Drosophila melanogaster: one gene and its partners. Changing the gene in region 1 together with any one later gene gives a genetic interaction. Each region holds a gene or a part of one and is shown in the gene's direction. Other genes may lie near its edges.

Region 1 (5,634 bases):
ATTTATCAAGACACATTTCCAGGACTAAAGTAATACAACTTCAGATAAACTAGTATTTAGTACTAAAATTTTTGTAAGTTAACCATCCAAATATTTGTAGTCAAGTGTGGCGACCTTGTTGGGTCTTGAACTTAGACATTAACATTGACTAGAAAACAAGAATATAACTAGAGCAGGTTTCGCACTTCAGTTTACCGCTGAGAAACTGAGAATTCGCCTAAGTTGGATTCACATGACATCGCCAGTGATGACACCACCGCCCACTGGGCCGCCCTCATGCTGGTGATGATGCAGTTGCTCCACGAGATCAGCGATTCCTTCCACGCCTATGCTCAAAGAGGGCAGCGACTTGTCCAGCACCAAAAGAGAGGGAGGCGACTTGGGCTCACCCTCTTCCATGCCAAAGGAGGACATGCCAATCCCGTCCAGGCACAGTTCATTGGATGATCCGACCAGCTGGGAGTGACCGCCGTAGGCCTGCATCTGGGACTGCTCCATGCTCAGAATGCAGTCCGCCTTGAAGCTGTCGATCGTGAACTGGTCCACGTCCACGCTGAGAAACTTCATCTCGTCGTAGGCGGAGGAGCCATCGGTCATGTCCAAACTCAATGAGGCGGCAAACTCAAGCCCCGGATGAAGCTGGGGATTGTGCTGCTCCTGCTGGTGCTGCTGCTGCTGCTGCTGGTGATGACTCGAACTCCCGGCGTGAATCGGATCGGATGCATGCTGTTGAGGCGGGTGCTGCTGGAGCTGATTGTCGGAGTCCATCTGCGGGTGTGTCTGCGCTTGCGTTTGCGGAGGATATGTGGACCACTCCATGGAGAGGCCACTGCCACCCCGCTCCAGTCCCAAGTGGTCAATGTTGAGGTTGAGAAATATATTCGGTGACAGCCTAGAGGGCGACATGGCCCCCGTGCCGTAGGAGGCCTTAAGTTCGTTATCAAGGGAGTTCGAGGATTGCGGTGGGGTGTCCGGCAATAGAGTTCCACCGCCGCCTGAAATCAATATGGGTCATTACTAGCGATGGGTTGATAGGTAACAGAGATATCCTTTCTTACCCAGCGCACTATCCAGTTGGCCCAGGACGGCGCTGTCGTCGTAGGACACGTCGAGATCCAACGCACCCTCCTTATAATCTCCGCCAAGCCCACCGATCTTCTCCTGCTTGCGCCACTTGGCCCGCCGGTTCTGGAACCACACCTGCACCCTCGCCTCCGTCAAATCGATCCTCACGGCCAGCTCCTCTCGGAAAAACACGTCCGGATAGTGTGTCCGCTGGAACGCCCTTTCCAGCTCCTGCAGTTGCAGTGTGTTAAATGTGGTTCTGCGGATCATTAGGAAAACTAGTGTTAGTGCACCTATAGCTTTAGTAGATACTTATGAAACTAGTCCAGTTTTTGGATTTATACCGCGATATATGTACATTTCGAATGTATCTGCTATACCTGTATCTCCGCTGCTTGCGCTTCATTGTGCCTTTGTCCATGCGAATCCTGAGCTTCCTGTTGGTGAACGTTGACGTTGGCGGAGTGGGTGGCGAGTAGTGGCCACTGAGGTGTGGATCCCGCTCAATCTCAATATCTCCCTCAGCGAGGATGGGGCTCTTCAAGCGCGTCGTGACATAGTCGCCGTGTGTTTTTCTATTTTTTAACGATTTTCGTCGACACTTCGAGGGCTTCGCGTCGCTGCTTCTTCTCGCTTTTCCGCTTCGACAAATTCCACGGCGGAAAAACTGCACAACAACAACGGCGAAAGCACGGATGAAGTCTTTGGAGACAGGCAGCTGCGGAGCTCAGCATAAGTCGCCCACCAGCGGAATCTGCATCTCCTCCGCTCCTGGTTTTTTATTCTGATTCCGATTCCAAGTCCCGACTTCCCTTGCTCGAACCTATGTAGCTGCTGATGGCTAAGCGATGTCAGATTGTCCAGCTGTGCATGTCCAACCTTGTGGCACGGGCACTGTTCTTGCCTCGACGACGCGAATTCGACTGAGGAGGATTTTGGATTTCCACGGGGAACAGTGACAGTGCGTGCTGTCCGTCGACAGAAGCCGTAGAAGTCGACCACAGTCCACTGGCACTCGCACACTCGCGGGCTCCCTACGAACAGGGGTATATACTATGTGCCTAAGAGGTCTGACCCGGTCTAGCCTCTTGGACAGTCGTTCTAGCCGGGCTTGTTATGCCAGTGGCGGTGCTCCTCACCCAAACTGGCCCAAGTGGGAGACATAGTGAGCTCATAATTTATGGCAACTCATGGTGCCTTCGGAGGATGTGCATAGCTGGAAAATGTTTAAGAATTCTACATAAGACTATAAACCACTATTTTTACCATTCATCTGCCTTTGCACATTATAAAAACAATATTCTTTAAACAAGACCATGAAACGGAAATGTCATCCATTTGGGGGAAATCCGACAAGTAAAATACAATCGGAATTGCATTTCCCACAGCTCCTCACTCAAAAGTATGCTATGGAAAAAGTTTCGGAGCCGTTTCGGAAACCAAAAATCCAGAAACCCACCCTGGTCAACGTTATCGATGGGAGGAGATCGGATTGCCCTTTGCCTCTGCACACATGTCTGGGTCAGTGGGCTTCTTTTGGCTACTCCCACCGCCCAAAGTTCTCCACCTCTGCCGGCACTTGAGGCCTTAAAGCCATTTCCCCCATTGAAGCATTGAAAGCAGCAGAGGAGTATAAATAGCCGAGGGACTCAACCCCATCAGCCGGGCCACTTGAGCTTGGCATGGCTTGCCATTGTTGTGGTGTCAACTGTGGAGTCCATTGTTCCATCCTGTCCAGGTGACGAACCGTAATGGATGCTGCTGCTCTCATCTCTGGCACAAAAGGTAATCCGAGAGGCGGCTTTTGTCCTAAATGGATATAAAAGTATGGCGACTCCTTGGCCAGAGCTGCAGAAGGAGTACAGCGCTGGTCAGGCACAGATCGAGCATGATGCCGTGGGTAAGTTTCATCTGGATGAGAGCCGAAAGATATAGAAACGAAATTACAAAGGAGGGCGCACAAGGATATACTCCGAACTGAATTCATTTTAAAACCCTTCCGTTCCAAGTTGCCCATTTCCATTATGGCAATGGCGCTGCTTAGCCTGACAAATAAAGGAATCGCCAGTCAGTACGCCAGCGATGAAGGTTTGGACGAGATGGTGGGTCTAAGGAGTCTGGAACACCGCGCGGAGGAGCAGCAGCCCGATCGCAGTACATCGAAAATGCTCAGTGCCCTATTCGGATTCAGTCCCAGCACTCCACATCCCACAGAGATGGCGATGGTCATGCCCCATCAGCTGCCGCCCATGTACTATAACGATTTCTATGAGGATCTGGTGACCACCAAACGCAATGATGTCCATTCCGCAGGCTGCGACTGCAAAGTTACGGTTCGTTGGGATACCATTCAGCCGCGTCAGATGTTTATAATTATTTTGTTATTCCCAGAATGAGCTCGTGGATCTGGGTGGTCTGCACTTCCCTCGCTTTCTGATGAATGCCGTTTGCGAATCGGGCGCTGGTCGGGATCTGGCCAAGTGCTCGCATGGATCCAATTGCAGGCCACTGGAATATAAGGTAAAGGTCCTGGCACAGACCTCTCAGTCCGATCACCCCTATTCGTGGATGAACAAGGATCAACCTTGGCAGTTCAAAACGGTCACCGTAACTGCCGGCTGCTTCTGCACAAAGTGATTGAAAGGATGTGAGCAACTATCGTGAATGTGAATTAATTGTATATTAAAGCGCCAAAAAGACGTCAAAGTTGCTTTATTGTGGGAGAGATTCGATATGAAACAGATTGTTATTTTTAAGGCATTCTTTTGATTCTTATATGTAGCTTAATGTTCATGTTTGAGCTTTCTCTTAGATAATTTGTCTAGGATATGTCGTGGATGCAATTCGTATTCATCAGCAAAATTCGAAATAAAGCAATAATCAAAATAGCTCTTGTTGTCATTGATGCACGAGTATAAAAACTGTCCCATAAACGTAAAAAATCTAAAAAACTTGAATCCAGAGAAACAATTTTGTTACAAATAAAATGTAAAGTATTAGAAAAGAAACTTCGCTTCGCAAGGCATCAGGATAGTAAATGGCATTACTTCCCAACTGAGTCAAGGCACTTTGACGGTGTAGTTTTAAATGGAGTGTGGAATCTACTTAGCTTATGGACGGCTTCGTTTAAATAATACAAAAAGCGAAATGTGCTTGGTATAGCAAAGGCTCTTGAGGCTAAGAGCGTGGAATGAGCCAAGATCCAAGTCCTAATAGTGCGGTGAGCAGGGTTAAACAGACACCATAGCCTTGTCTTGAAGGAGCGCCACTCTGTAACAATTCCGATTAGTTGGTAGTCCCAGTTAAATGTACTATCTACCCACAATGACAAAGTAGTTGCACCGATCTCCCTTGCAGCACTCGTTGCACGCCCAATCCTCGTACCAGATGTGGGTGCAGTACAGCTGCATATAGCGCTTCCTCTTGGACTGGCACTGCTCCTTGGTCATGCACCTCTTGGACACGTAGTATTGCTTAAGAGCACCCTCCGAGAAGTACGGCTGGGATCCCCAGCGGATCTCCGTTCCGCAGACGTTTTCAAAGGGCTCGCAGGTCTTGATGGTGTTCAGGCACTTCTCCGTGTTGCCCGTCTGGTTGGAGCAGACATAGCACTCCAGACCGGCCACGAAATTTACTAAAAATATGTTATTTATTCGAGAGGTTCTAAATATTTTAAAGGTGTGGCCCAAAGTCGGGCTTCAAAAATGAAACTTACCTTGCGAACACAAGTAAACAGCGGCGACTAGCACCACAGCTATCTCCCACGATTTCATCGTATATCTGGAGTAATTAACGCAATCGGAGCCGATAAGCTCAAAGTAAATAAACAAGTCAAATTAACAAACAAAACCACTCCCAAAAAAACATTAGCAACAAATTAGAAGAACGCGCGTTCTGCAACACCAACTTCAAGGCGCTTTGCAGCACTAAACATGGCCAAGTGCTGCCACCTGTGGCGCTTGCTTATTAATAACTTTTAAGTGGATAAATAATTGAGAGACACGTTGTTTGAAATATTTATAAACCAAAAAGAATTAATAATAATTTTTTTAACGTACCTAGCTAATAGTTCATTGTCGCCTTGAAATGATTGCATCTTGCTAACATGTTCCCGCCAAAAAGGCCAGACCCTGGCGGGTAGCCAGCCGGTTAGTCATCACTGGTTCAGAGCGGTAAGTGCGCGCTACGTTTTCTGTGCGACATTTGCAAAGGCAATCCGATTGCCGCCTTCAGAGGTGCTGCTCCTGGACCAGACTACTGGACTACTACCGCGCCGTCATGGCCAAGAGTGATCAGGAGCTTCCCGAGGGATTTCGCCAGCTAAAGACACAGGTTGCGGGTCACACATTCGAGGAAAGCAACGCGGAGGCAGTGGGTCTTCTGCAGGACTCGAAGGCGGGATGCGTACTGAAGCCTCTGGGGAAGCCGGAGTGCGGCGAACGGGAGCTGCGCTTCTATGAGTCACTCGCAGAGGCAGGTGCTTCAGGTGATAATGACCTCCTGGCGCTGCTCCGCGGTCACGTCCCCCGGTTTTACGGCCCCCTAAAACTGGTTGTGAATCGGCGCGAG
Region 2 (8,620 bases), on another chromosome or scaffold:
CTGGAGATCGAACTTAGTAGTTAACCAACACACATTTGTATACACGTGCCACACAATTCTCTAGCTGTCCCTCAAAACAATTTAAGCCTGAGCTTATATTCGAGCCCAACCACACGACCCACTTGAATTTCCCAACCGCACACCACACAAGTTGAAGAACATACTTATATCCAGAACAATTCTATGGTTTCAAAATGGTTGAACAATTTTGCATAGAGTATTATCGTTAGACGCTGGGCTATAACTTTTCGGTTCTGAGCGTGGATGAAGATGAGATGAAGATAGCAGCGATGAAGTTAAGGAGAGGCAATGCAAATCATAGAAGTATCCCAAAAAAGAAGAACAACCGAACCTACCCGAAAAACTGAAGAACTAACTACCTACCCACAACCACAAATGCAGCCAAGTGGCCAAATTAACTAAGTATTATACCTTAAAGCGAACGATAGATTGAACGAACGGACGAGACGAGATGAGATGAGATGAGATCAGATAGGAGGAGGAACCTTATAGATGACACGGCTTGAGATAGATGTATGTACATTTTGAAGCTCCCCCAACCAGGCTAAGTGTGCCAGAAAACACCAAAAATCGATGAAATGATTAGGAAAAGAATGCTCAAATCAAAATCTTATATTTTACGGTATTACAATGATTAGGAACGATTGAAATGAATTGGAAATGGGGGGTAAAAAAAGAAAACGATACCGACAGAGAGTATCCTGAGATTGAGCTAGGATTTCGAATGATTCGTTTCGTACTTTTACTTGATCCTTTTTTCTTAGCCGATGCGAGCAGATTGTAGCTGTACTCTAAGAATAATTTCACACTAAGATTAAGTAAAAATTTATTGTTGATATTACATAAAAAAAAAAGAAAAGGAAGACGCAGAAGTGAGATGAACACGGTCGCGTAAACCAAATGAATTAGAATTTTTCTCTAATTTCATAAGTCAATGATCATTATGATGATGATATGATACCGAGGGTAACGATGGTAAAGATGAGTTGAAAATGCTTATGATCTCCAATGTCAATATGTGTAGATTGACGCGATTTGAGCTAATTGAGTGAATTGTTATTATAATAATAAATGAAGTGAAATGAATGGATCGGCAGATCGATCGATCGTTTGGGGCGCAGAAGGCCGCGGTGTTAGTAAATATCATTTAAAATAAATGATAAAAATGTCATTATATATACATAGTTTAAACATGGGATTAATAATAATAAATTAAATGAAAAAGAACCGAAGAAACTGGAATGAGAATTAAATAAAAACGAGTAAACACTGAAATACCGAATTTTAAATACATAAGTTTTGAATCATGCATGCTGCAAAGACAAAGCAAAACCCACACAGAAACCGAAACAAAAGTAATAAAATGAACTTCTATATATGAAAAGAGAAAAATATACGAGAGATACAATTTCAACCAGCTTTTGCAATACTTTTCGGAAGCCCTTCCCCCAACGCCTCTTCCAAAAGAAAGACCCCCCCCCATATCAGCAGCAAAAAAAGACTTCAAATCAGAACCTTTTCATTTCTTAGAAGCCAGCAGCGAATTTTGCAGAAATTCCCAATGGCCATTGGAAGTCAAGGCAAATGCGACAAAGCGGATGCCCTGCAGCCATGGCTCTTTGAGCAACAGATACAGATACAGATACATTTGTATCTTGAGCTTCTAATTGAAACATTACACTCGAACTTCAAACGTTGTCGCCCAACACTTTGAGTTGACCCAAATTTGTTAGCATGTTTTCAAGGTAATGCGAATTTGATACTTTCGTTTTCGTTTTTATTTTTCGGCTTACTTTTGGTCTCATTATTAGTTTTTTTTTTGCACAAGTAGTACCAAAAGTTTTTGATTACTGGCCGCCCAGTTCTATGGGAATCTTGCGCAAGTCTGGCCCGGGTAAACTGCAATCATTTCAATCTGCCTCGATTCGGCAGCCCTCCGACTCCCCGCGCCATTGAAGAAAACTGGAAGTTGAACGACGTGCTCGGAAATATTAATAAGCGGAAAAGCTGTCCCCCCAAACGGCAGATGTCAACAATAGATATTTGTGCCAGGCCATTAGCATTAGCCATAGCCACTACCGTTGGAGGAGTAGAACTTCTGCTGGCTGCCAGTCATTGAACTGCAACTGCTGCCAGTTGCTCGGTTGGATCAGACGACACGACGCACAGCAGCAACATGTTGCTGTCGTAGCGCAACATATATTGTTGCTGCTGCTGTAGCTGCTTGAACGGATCGGCTTGTTCTCTCCGGCGATCGAGTTTTTGGTAGCCAGTTTCAGTTAGGTTTTGAGTCTTCGCGCTTGAAGGTGTGCTGCTCGCGTTTTGAGTGTAAGTGCTGCCGCAAATTCCGGCTTATAATTGCAATTGAAGGCACGTCGTCGCTCGTTTTAGTGTGTTTTAAGTCTGTTTTAGTGTTTGCCGTTCAGGGTACTTGACGACTGCCTGTGTGTGTGTGTGTGTACGTTGTTGGTTGTTGAAATCTGCGCAAACGCATGTAATTCGAACCACAGCGATCTATTCATAGATCCGTCTTATCACTTGAGGGCGCCAACCAAGCCGCCGACCTCTGACCCACAAAGCGTTAAAAATCGGAGTCTTAACGATGCTAATGCCAGCCATAAAGCCAGCCAACCAGCCTTGTGCAATGGCCCCCGGTATCAGAGCGATAAGGCTAACCAGTGGCGAGCCACAACTCTAGACCTGCGGATTTGTGTCGACTGGCATATAGAATTAGCCGGAGCTTCAAGCTTCTGCCGAAAATAAAACAAGCCGCTTCTGGCCGATGGTTACGTCAATTTCGATTCGCGTTCGAGTTCTCGTGCAGGTAAATAATACTACCACAAAAGTGGCAAAAGCAGCAGCACCTCAGCAGCAGTCAAGACAACTTTTGTTTAACACCGCTCAAGGAAACAACGCACACGGACCAAGCATAAAATTAAGCGCGATATAAACTGCAGACCTTATGCCCCACGTCTGTGCCCTTCGCCCGGGGTTTACTCCAGACTACTACCACAAAAGAGCTCATGAAATGCGCATAAAGAATCTCCAATTGACTGGGCCGCGGACAACCACGGTGGGAAGCACTGAGAGAAATGTATGCAGGTTTTTTAGGATGTCCAAGAAAAATACACATTATAAAATCTTATTGGATAAATATAGGCCAAATAACAAATCTAATAACGATTTAAATCTGATAAAAGCATAAACAATTGGAATAAGATTCCAAATAGCTCAAAAGAGGAGTTAAGAGCTGACTGATTCTTCTCTTATTCAGTTCTAGTCCTAGATAGCCACACTCTTTTCTCCCAGTGCACAGGGAGTCACAGTTGAACGAGTTGATTTTTAGTTGCCTTTGCTTTGGAGTCCGAGTGCGCGCATTGAATTTTTGATTTAATTCGTCTTCTTCATCTCGAACTCCGGTTCGCGGCTTCTTTTTTTTTTTGGGGTCTTTTGCACAAGGTTATGCGTCCGCTATTGTCAATACCCCCACCGACAAAACTAACTATCATTAAGTCACATAACACATGCCTTTCAAGCGGATCTCAAATTTTGAACCTCAAGTTTGGCAATTGTGCGACAGTTTGATTTTCTGGGTCTCGCGATGGAGAACTAAGCTCATTTGGGCATTAGTTGTTTGCCAGAAGTTGGAAGCCTTCGAAATCGTATTCTATGCCGAGTCAGAATGTTTAAATCCGTAGAGTGATTGCAATCTGTGAGGTTCATCTGTAAGGTCAAGACAGCTGATTGCAGCATTTAGCAAATATTCATGTGTTTATAAAATGTGCAAACAAATATTTCCTGGAATCGCGCCCATGGGCAGTAATATATGTACTATAGGCAAGTATAGACAAGATGCAGTAGTCAAATGTCTCTTTTTCTTTGTTCCATTCACGGCTAGTTTCATTCAGTCACTCTTCCTGCTGTTTTTTGTTTAGTTTTTGCTGCTGGACAAGTTTAGCGACGCCTACATTTTATGGTTCACGTAAATGGTTAACATTTGAGTCTCATCATGGCTGCGTTTGTGTTTTTTTTTTGTCTGGTGCTGCGCTTCAGTGCGTCGGGTCGACAGGTGTGACTCACAAACGTGGCTAACACCCGGCTAACCTCTGTGTTTTTGGCCCATCAAACACGTCGCTCGTTCTGTGATAACGGCTCGAATTAAAAGCTGCCTCGCCAAGCTGTTAGAATGTGTGTATATGTCTGGCTTGGGCCAATTTGTTTGGCTTCCTTGCCGGCCATAATGCTTGGACAGAAAAAAAAAAAAAAAAAAACAAAAACGGCATAACCGGTCCTCTGAAGTGTAGTGGGCCAACTATAGGAAAACGGTTACGAGGCATGCAAAATGTTTTTAGGAAATAATTTGCAAGTCAAAGCGACAGCCGAACCAATTTTGATGGCTATACTTTGTAGCTGCTTTTACGGCCACAGAGCCTGCGGCTAATTGCATCCACTTAAGGTGATCAGAGTGGAGCTACGCAGAGCTCCAGCTCATCATCACCACCAGCTGGTGGCCTCTACCCAAGTCGACTTGGTCGGTTCAAGTTCAGCGCCACTGAAGGTTCATGGCCAATTAGAGCGCGCTTATATTATCGCCCGTTTATGGAGTGGAAAACAAACACGGCGGCCCTGCAATTATTGCTGTTTAGTTAACCCCACTGTATCGCAACTACTGCACTGGCTATAAAATATAAACAAACCACCGAAGTAGCTTGCTGTAAAACTTTCCGGTTTTAGTCTAAGTGAGTAATGAGTTCGGATGGTATAGCGCTGTTTGTACTTGCTTGTCATCAATATGCACATTGCAATCAAGAGTTATCTAGTCACTTGAATAAATTATTGTGGGATAGATATGCCTCATTATTGTTAAATTGCGAATTTTATAAGAGATCGGAATAGGTTGCGTTTGTTTCAATCAATAATATTTTATAGCAAGGGATTATATGGATATGGAATATGGAAACGTTTGCCTAATTCAAGTGTAATCGCTTTAAATTTGCAATATAATATTTCTATTATAATCCTCTATAGATCTAACCTTGAATGCTGAGCGATGCGGTCGTGGCCTGGCCTTTTCTGGCTGCTGACCCTGGCGCTCCTGGCGGATGGAGGTCGTCGCGAGTCCCAGCTCCGGATCGGCAAGGCCATCAATATATTCCTGCGCTATGGCTACCTGGGAATCTCCATGCGTGTGATACCGCTCAATGACAACTCGGAGCCGGATCGCTGGGTGTTTAAGGAGCCCACCAAAAACATCTATAGGGTAAGGGACTTAAGGCAGAGTTAAGCTTACATTTAATAAATTAAATGGCGTTGATGAACTCGGAATTGTTTGTATTAACCTTTAACCACAATCACCATAATTATTTGGAGTATAATCAAAATTTTAAAATAGGGTTTAAAGTTGTTATCACTTAAAACTATTTTTAGTTGTAATTATATTGTTCACTTCCGCCACGTTTGTCGTTAGAATGAGCGCTTATTATATTTGTTTGATCAGATTTAGGAAAACGATCATTATATACGATTATTCAAGTATGTCACTTGATATTTATTACCTGATAATTGAGCTGACTAGACAATTAGATAATTAATGATTTTTTTCTTTCAGAATCTGAGTGGCCTGGCGGAGAGTCATGAAGACACCACGCCCGGAATCTTTCATGGAGACTTTCACATGGAGTTCTGCGAGAATCGGAGGCAACTGTTCCAGGCCTACTTCCGTGACTTTTCCATTGAGCGAATGGACAAACCGTGGGAGGCATTTACTGGCGGATGGTTTCCGGATAATGCGGCCAAGAAGCTGGGCATCAATACATCTTTCATCCAAGGCGATTACTCGTATGTTTTGGTGAGGGTGGTGCGCTTCAGGGAAACGGGGCGTCTTAACGCTGAGATTCCGGTGCACCAACCCTTGGAGCCGGATGTGCGATCGAGAATGGATCAACTGCAAATCGGAAATATAACTTCCGCAGTGCGATTTATGGAAGATGTGGGCACCCACTACGTAAACTCATACACCACCGGCAATTCGCTGTATCAGGTGTTTGTGTACAGCAGGAAGAACTACAGCATGATCAAGGAGCGAATCAAGAGTAAAGGTCTGAACGGACTGTCCAAGTTGGATCTTTACAACTACTTTGCGCCCTGGTTTGCCGCCCATCTGGGCCAGATTCGATCGGCTAGTGCCAATGCTACAGTGGAAAGATGGGCGAGAAGGAAGCTGCAGTACGAGTACTATGTGGTCAAGTATGTGACCCTGCTGAAACTGCACGGTAATAGTACTCTACTGCGATCCCTGGACTCGCTGCTCGGCAACGATGCCATACTGCAGTTGGACCTCAAGTCGCTGAAGCCCATCTTCCGGGAGGAGCCGGAAAAGGAGAGCTGGTACCACGAGGTTCTCGACAACAATGTGAAGCTCTGGGAGCTTAACATGCCGCAGAGTCATCCCACCCGATAGCTGCATTTTAAATATATATATACTGTGCGATATGTGGCAGCCAAGGATCAATAGTTCCTAGATGCTTAGTTGTAGTTAGGAACCTCTAGTGCGTAGTTAATGTTCTGCCTGTGATAGTTTTAGGTAGTTTAATTGGAACACAGTACACATCCGACTTGCATTTCAGCTAACTAGACCGTAAGATCGCCTTATTGATGTAATAGTTTTGTAAACTTTAATACAAAGTAAAGATAAAAGTAAAAATCTTACTGTTTTCATAACTTGATATTGGCTATTAAAATCTAACTGTTTTCATTACGTAATATTGGCTATGAATATCAAATACTATTTTGAAAGTTTATTTTGAATAATTGATTTTGATTAAGAACCGGTAATCGAAACGGGTAAACGGCTCTACCCGTTTCATCAAGGCTTTCAACCAGACTTATTCTAGTTTTCCACCCTTACGTATTTAGTATATGAATCAAGTATATTTTTAATACCGTGTGGTATATTTCAAACGGTTCAGTTACGCTCATACTGAAATCCGAAATAGCACGTGCGGTTTTTGTATTTTGATTTTGATTTTGGGTGATATATACTGGCATGGATATTTTTTCCAATTGTCCGGGCTTTTGCCCCTCCTGCGGCTCCATTCTGCCCGAGCTTCAAGTCAAGGGCAATGTGATTTGCTACAACTGCAAGAAGGAGTTTCAGCCAGATGGTAAATCCAGAAATTACAACTTTGTTTAATTTATTTAACACTTAAAAATAGTTTACAGCGGCGAGAAGTCCGAGTTTACCATACACTTCAACACCTACGATCCCAGCAAGGTGTTCAACAGGACGAAAAGGGAGTCGGAATCGGACGCGGATGGCCCCGTTGTGGAGAGGAAGTGTCCCAAGTGCAACCACGACAAGATGTCCTATGCCACCCTGCAGCTTCGATCGGCGGACGAAGGCCAGACGGTGTTCTTTACCTGCCTTAAGTGCAAGTAGGTGTCCTGATAAACATATTCCTTCACTTCCACAACTAATCACACACATTCTACCTTGCAGATTCAAAGAATCCGAAAACTCTTAGTTGCTAGCAATGTCCGTGTAAATAGTCCTAGATTAATGAAAATAATCATGCTCGACGGCCTGAGAAATATAGAATTTACCAATTATAATACCTAACCGGTGTCAAACTTGAAGCAGAACCCACCTCGCTGGCCTTGAGTCGGTTTTTGGGATTGTAGACCACCAGATTCGAGACCAGATTGATTTCCACCGCATGTGTGCAGCTGGGAAACAAGTTGTCCCAGTGAATGCCCACGGAGTTGGGAAACCTACGTCAAGAATATTACGGATTAAGTAATCATAGACGGTAAGAATGCCTACCGTATCTTGCTGTAATCCGGCAGAGAAGTCAGCTCTGGCCACTGATTCAGACGTGGGCTGCCCAGAGTGCGAATGATGATGGCTAATTGCTCGATGTCGGTGGTTCCCGCAAACAGGGGCACTCCGCGTAGCATCTCCGCCACAACACAACCTGGATAGCAATAATGTCAGCCATAAGGATATATGTAAACCCATCAAAGAGTCATGGCTAACCTGCCGCCCACATATCCACTCCGGTTCCATACTTCTGGCTGCCAAATAGAATCTCTGGCGCTCGATACCACCGGGTTGAGACCTGAGGCGAATAAAGGCGCGACTCGTCTTCAGGGAAGTACAGACGGGCCAGTCCGAAATCGGCAATCTTAAGCATATCTGTATCGCTGATAAGCAGATTGGCGGGTTTAATATCCCGGTGCATGAGACCCGCTTCATGCAGATATGCAATCCCCTTGAACATTTGGTGTGCAAACTTACGCACCTGCTGGCGGCTCAGGGGATTAACCTCGCTCTTGAGGCGGTTGTACAGAGTGTCCGGCTGGTATTCCAGCACCAAGGAGAGACCAGTTAGGTCAGGATATATATCAATGATGTCCAGAATCTACAATTAGTTACATAATTAACAAATGGAAAATAGATATATGGTATACCTACATATTCAGACTTGCAAAGCTGCAGGGTCTTGATTTCCCTCAAAGTATTTAGGGCTATGTTTCCGAACTTGTTCTTAAGGGCCACCTTCTTGATGGCCACCTCCTTGTTGCGCTGCAGATCGATGGC
Region 3 (5,323 bases), 9.7 Mb from region 1:
TTAGAAATGAACTCTCGCCAACAACAAACAGCGCAGATGCTACCAAGACAGGTCACAAAGCAAAGTCCAGTACAGGTGAATTCCTTAATCCTAAACCAATCAGTGGGCAATCAACTAAATCATGTTTTTAAACAGGGACCGCCACCACCTTATCCGCATAGCCAACTCAGCCAAAGTCCCATACCTTCGAAACGTATTAAGGAAGATGGCACAAGCCAACAAGAAGTAACACAAAACAACAGTCAGACATCAGCGCAAAATCTAATAAGTAAGTGACCAATTTAAATAGTATATATCTTAAAGTATTAAATCACTTTTTAACACTCCAAACAGACATTTCGGAATCTTTAAACCAGCGCAACTTCAACGCCATGCCGGAGAGCAACAAAAGTTCGGAGCAAAGTGTTCTTGACACCTTCGACGACATCTCGAATGATATTTATAAACAGAATGAGAGCATCAAGCTCGAACGTTTGAGCCAGGATGCACTGAGTAACAATGAGGACTCGAGGCATGATTTTATTGGCGGTGACAACGCCGACATCTCGACCACGTTCAAAATACAAATGGACTCGAAGCAGTTGATGGTAGCTGTGAAGCTGCTGCCGATTGATGAACCGCCCGTGCACTGTACCATTTTGCAAGTGAATGCGCCGCCGCCATCTCCGCCCGATTGCCCACCGCAGAAACTGACGCGAGATCAACTCCTGCCTCCCACACCCTCTGTTCATTTAGAAAATAAGAAGCACGCGTTCAGCCCACAGTTGCAGGAGTTTTGCCTGAAACATCCGATTGCCGTTGTACGCGGCTTAGCGGGCGTCTTGAAGCTAGATCTCGGTCTCTTTTCGACCAAAACGTTGGTGGAAGCCAACCCGGACCATAGTGTTGAGGTTCGGACACAAGTGCACCAGTCTCCCGATGAAAATTGGGACACTTCGCAGGGTAAGCGCGTCTGGGCCTGCATTTCCCATCGGTCTCACACAACCATAGCCAAATATGCCCAATATCAGGCATCCAGTTTTCAAGACAGCTTGAAGGTAATGTTCGTTGGGTTGGTTCCTCTTTAACATGAATACAAGTTTACTTTATCGTGTAGCTTATTTTACCGCAGGATGAAAGCGATAAAGGTTTCCCCGGCTCGCAAGCAATGTCGGATTCAGACTCAAAGGACTCGGTATCCAATTCGAACATTGTTCTCAAACGTAAAAAACACAAAATAAACAGCAAAATGTTGAGGTAATAGAAACTCCAAACCATTTATGTCTGCATTACGAACTTTATGAACATAAATTAAATGCTTATTTCGCTTTTTTTTTTAGGTTCGGGACCAACGTGGACCTCTCCGATGAAAAGAAATGGAAACCACAATTAACAGAGCTACAAAAACTGCCAGCTTTTGCGCGAGTTATATCCGCTGCCAATATGCTATCACACGTGGGCCACGTCATTTTGGGCATGAACACCGTTCAGCTGTACATGAAGGTGCCCGGAAGTAGGACGCCTGGCCACCAAGAGAACAACAACTTCTGCTCAATCAACATCAACATCGGTCCTGGCGACTGTGAATGGTTTGCCGTCCCTGACGCCTACTGGGGCGGAGTTCACAATCTTTGCGAGAAGAACAACATTAGCTATCTGCACGGCTCGTGGTGGCCCGTCCTGGAGGATTTATACAAGGAGAATATACCAGTTTATAGATTTATACAAAAGCCCGGTGACTTGGTTTGGGTGAATGCCGGGTAAGCACTGAATATGAAAGGAAGGATGATGTATTAACAATCAAACCTACTTTCAGATGCGTCCATTGGGTTCAGTCGATCGGTTGGTGCAACAACATTGCGTGGAATGTTGGACCCTTGACTGCCCGTCAGTATTCTCTTGCCATCGAGCGATATGAGTGGAATAAAGTGCAGGCCTTCAAGAGCATTGTGCCGATGGTGCATTTAAGCTGGAATCTTGCAAGGAATATTAAAGTGTCTGATACCAAACTTTTCGAGCTGATAAAGTGAGTTAGCAAATGATAGGAATCACCATTATGCAGATACTATAGGGCATACATATGTAATTTGTAATTTTCAGAATGTGTTTGCTGCAAACGTTGAAAAACGTATTGCACATACAAGAGTATGTCAAATCGAAAGGTGTGGAAATACGTTTCAATGGACGCGGAAAGAACGAAGCATCCCATTACTGCGGACAATGCGAGGTATTTAGCGTAGTATTATTAACATATTTATACAGTTTCCAAAGGTGATATGAATGCAGTTTATTTAATCATTTGTGCACTCTTTGCAGGTTGAGGTTTTCAATGTGCTGTTCATCAAGGAGCAGGAGAAACGACATGTGGTCCACTGCCTATCGTGCGCGCTGAAGCTATCTCCGTCGCTCCAGGGAATCGTTTGCCTGGAGGAGTATCGTCTGTCTGAGCTGCAGCGCGTGTACGATTCGTTTACTTTACACAGAACCCAAGGACTAGCATACACTCAGTAGTTGTAATACGAGGAATCATTTTAAGTAATGCAGATTTAATATATGTATATTTTACAACGTACAATATACTCTCTATTGTTTTGATAAAACATAACGGTACGAATATATAGAGATGGGATTTTTCGAATAAAGCCATCAGAGCAGTTTTTTCGGCTATTATGTTTGATAGTCGAAAAAACTGGAGCCCACTTGAGTAGCGAAACTTACCTTATGATGACAATTTTATTATGACTTCAAATATTTAGACCCATCTTTTATAGTTTAATTTAAAAAAAAAAACTTTAAATTTATCCAAAGTTTAGAATGCGTTTTAATTATATATATGAATAAATTTAATTTATAATCTTTCGCAATGACACTGAAATTAAAATCCTTCTTTTTATTGAATTGGCTGTTATTACTTTAGTACCTAAATAAGTTACAGTGTAGAGAGCAACGATAACTGCTGTAAACACGATAAATCAATTGGTTGATATTGGTGTAGCCCTGTTTTTAGCCAGCCATGTTTCTGCGTATACTGTGTCCAACTATGAAATCCCAAAGTGAACTGGCCATTGTGCTCACTTGGTTGGCAGTGCTGGGGACGGCTCAAGATGATGCCGATTACTGCGCCGAGCTATCCACGCAGTCGCTGGCCAAAATTCTGGGACAGGCATTTAATCCGCGCTACATGAGCATCGATCCGCCGGGCGAGCCCGAGGAGAAGAGCTATCATCTGGGATACAAGCGATCGTCGTACGAGCTGCCCTTCTATGCGGACAGTGATGCGATTTCGGTTAGCCACTTTCCCGCCTGGGAGACCAACCACTTTGCGCTGGTAGAGAAGAAGAAGGAGGCACCGAGGAGCAAGAGTCTGCGCACGAGAAGCGCCTTCATGGATCGTGTGGGACATCCGAGAATCGATGGGTTCAAGCAGCGGCCGTGGGAGTGCTCGTCGAAGATCAACTGGATTGACTTAGGCTTAAATTACTTTCCACGCTATATCCGTTCGATCGAGTGTATTGCCAGAAAATGTTGGTATGATCACTTTAATTGCAAGCCAAAATCATTTACAATAAAAGTACTGCGCCGTAAAACTGGCTCATGCATTCGAATAAACGATAAATTGATTTTGATCACCGCAGAGAAGTTTGAGAATGATTATACGCAGCTCTGGATTTGGGAAGAAATAGCGGTTAACTTTTGCTGTGAATGTGTTATGCTATACTAGTAGCGCCATTTAATCAAGATTTAATTAATATACACGTTTAAAATGTCAACAAAAAACTTTAATAGCATTGGGAACAACAGATACCTTAATGGGTCTTGCATCGTACTCCTCGCCATCGATGGAGTAAAACTTCTCGCCCATTTCACCATCCGGATGCAGTTGAATAGTCCTGCTCTTAACCACCAAGCTGGGTAAAATTTTGCTGCACGTGACTTCCGGAATTTGTTTGATAAACTCCCAGCCCGGCTGCAGGGAGCTTATAAACTGACTTTCCAGCTCCGCAAAGTTATCCTTGTTCTGAACACAATTGATGTTAATCTGGCTGGCTTCAGCGCTTCCCTCGAACTTCTTGCTGCAATTGTCGTTCTTGACGAGCGGCCTCTTGGTTTCACCCGGATTATTCTTGTACTTAATGAGGCCTCTGGTGAAGAGGCCAGAAGGCTGGGCGGTCTCCTGGCGCTGCACAGTAGCAGCACAGTCAACGCAGCCAGGACACGGCGGTGTGTACACATAGTCGGTCTTAAGGCTCCAGTTATCGGCAAAGGACTTGGACGCAGCGGAAGCGTAGTGTCGCAGTGGTCCAAAGTACCAGTACTTATCCTTTGCCGCATCGATGTCCTCCAGCAGACCCCAGGACAGACCATTAAGACCGAATATGGGCTTCAATTGGCTATTGCTGCCATCTTCTTCATTGATCACATCAAAGCGGATCACACTCTGGTACTGGCTCTCATCCTTGAGCATAGGTTCAAGGGCTTTCGAAAGACTTTTCACATAGTCGACGTCCTTGACGCCAAAGATGTTGATGCGCTTGGATGCGGACTGCACCGAACGTCCCAGCGGAAGGATGGTGATCGGGCAGAGATTGCCGCGCCTACGCATCAGCCCAGTGACCACCTCCGATGAGGTGCCGTCGCCGCCGGCAACAACAATGGCATCGGGTAGCGTTGCCAACTCCTCCACGTAGGTTTTGGCATGACCAATGTGATTCGTCCGAAGGATCTCCACCGAATATCCAGCTAAATGCAAAACCGGCTCGCAGTAGTTCTTAAACTGAAAATCTATGGCTGGGTTATCATCTTAGTCAGCTGTGTGCCAGCTACTTACAAACTTCTCCGATCTCTTCTTGTTGGCCACCGGATTCATGACCACCAGTACCTTTTTGGGGCGATCCGATATCCAGTTGGCCTGAATGTTGGAGGCGAATTCCCGCATATGTTGTTCAATCCTGGAGAGCAAATAAGGGGGTTAAAGTTGCGTCAAATTTTCACGGTTTTCTGAATGCATACTCGATGTGAGTTTTCAGCGCTTGCAGCGCGTACACAGATACTGCCGCTCCGAACGTGCATTTCTTCCAATTATTCCGAATTACTCTTAAATAATTCATATTTTCAATTTCGACCGATGATTTTGATTCCACATGTATTGGTTTGGCCGCACACAAACAGCTGGATTTTAGATCGTCAAGGGTATTCCAGCCAGTTTACATAAGCTTTAAAATAACAGAAACGTTTAGCGCTGAAACGGGAACACTGAAAATTGCACACTCTGTTACTTAACAGTGTATCTTAATCAGTTAGAAACAAATTTATTTATTCAAGTTTAAACTCAACGTTTTATTCA

The links.
Region 2: of Ptth (region 1) and tsl, changing one enhances a phenotype caused by changing the other (phenotypic enhancement), as found in Drosophila melanogaster (one study listed by BioGRID).
Region 3: of Ptth (region 1) and trk, changing one suppresses a phenotype caused by changing the other (phenotypic suppression), as found in Drosophila melanogaster (one study listed by BioGRID).

What each region holds. Positions count from the first base shown.
Region 1 is NT_033779.5:573,845-579,478, reverse strand, and holds Ptth (prothoracicotropic hormone), read left to right. Parts: upstream 1-2,582; 5' UTR 2,583-2,878; coding exon 2,879-2,965; exon of another isoform or gene 2,966-3,074; coding exon 3,075-3,398; intron 3,399-3,456; coding exon 3,457-3,702; 3' UTR 3,703-3,768; downstream 3,769-5,634. Other genes in the region: Pph13 (PvuII-PstI homology 13), read right to left, coding at 229-995, 1,059-1,324, 1,446-1,486; cold (coiled), read right to left, coding at 4,243-4,335, 4,389-4,699, 4,781-4,838; Ipk2 (inositol phosphate kinase 2), read left to right, coding at 5,344-5,634.
Region 2 is NT_033777.3:21,776,213-21,784,832, reverse strand, and holds tsl (torso-like), read left to right. Parts: upstream 1-2,296; 5' UTR 2,297-2,349; exon of another isoform or gene 2,350-2,845; intron 2,846-2,927; exon of another isoform or gene 2,928-3,115; intron 3,116-5,049; 5' UTR 5,050-5,071; coding exon 5,072-5,281; intron 5,282-5,629; coding exon 5,630-6,481; 3' UTR 6,482-6,719; downstream 6,720-8,620. Other genes in the region: Polr1H (RNA polymerase I subunit H), read left to right, coding at 7,067-7,184, 7,236-7,455, 7,520-7,544; CG6800 (uncharacterized protein), read right to left, coding at 7,620-7,791, 7,844-7,994, 8,057-8,441, 8,495-8,620.
Region 3 is NT_033779.5:10,269,879-10,275,201, reverse strand, and holds trk (trunk), read left to right. Parts: upstream 1-2,877; 5' UTR 2,878-2,992; coding exon 2,993-3,700; 3' UTR 3,701-3,745; downstream 3,746-5,323. Other genes in the region: Utx histone demethylase, read left to right, coding at 1-75, 136-268, 334-1,037, 1,097-1,236, 1,320-1,739, 1,796-2,005, 2,080-2,206, 2,296-2,490; Mulk (Multi-substrate lipid kinase), read right to left, coding at 3,746-4,753, 4,808-4,928, 4,990-5,087.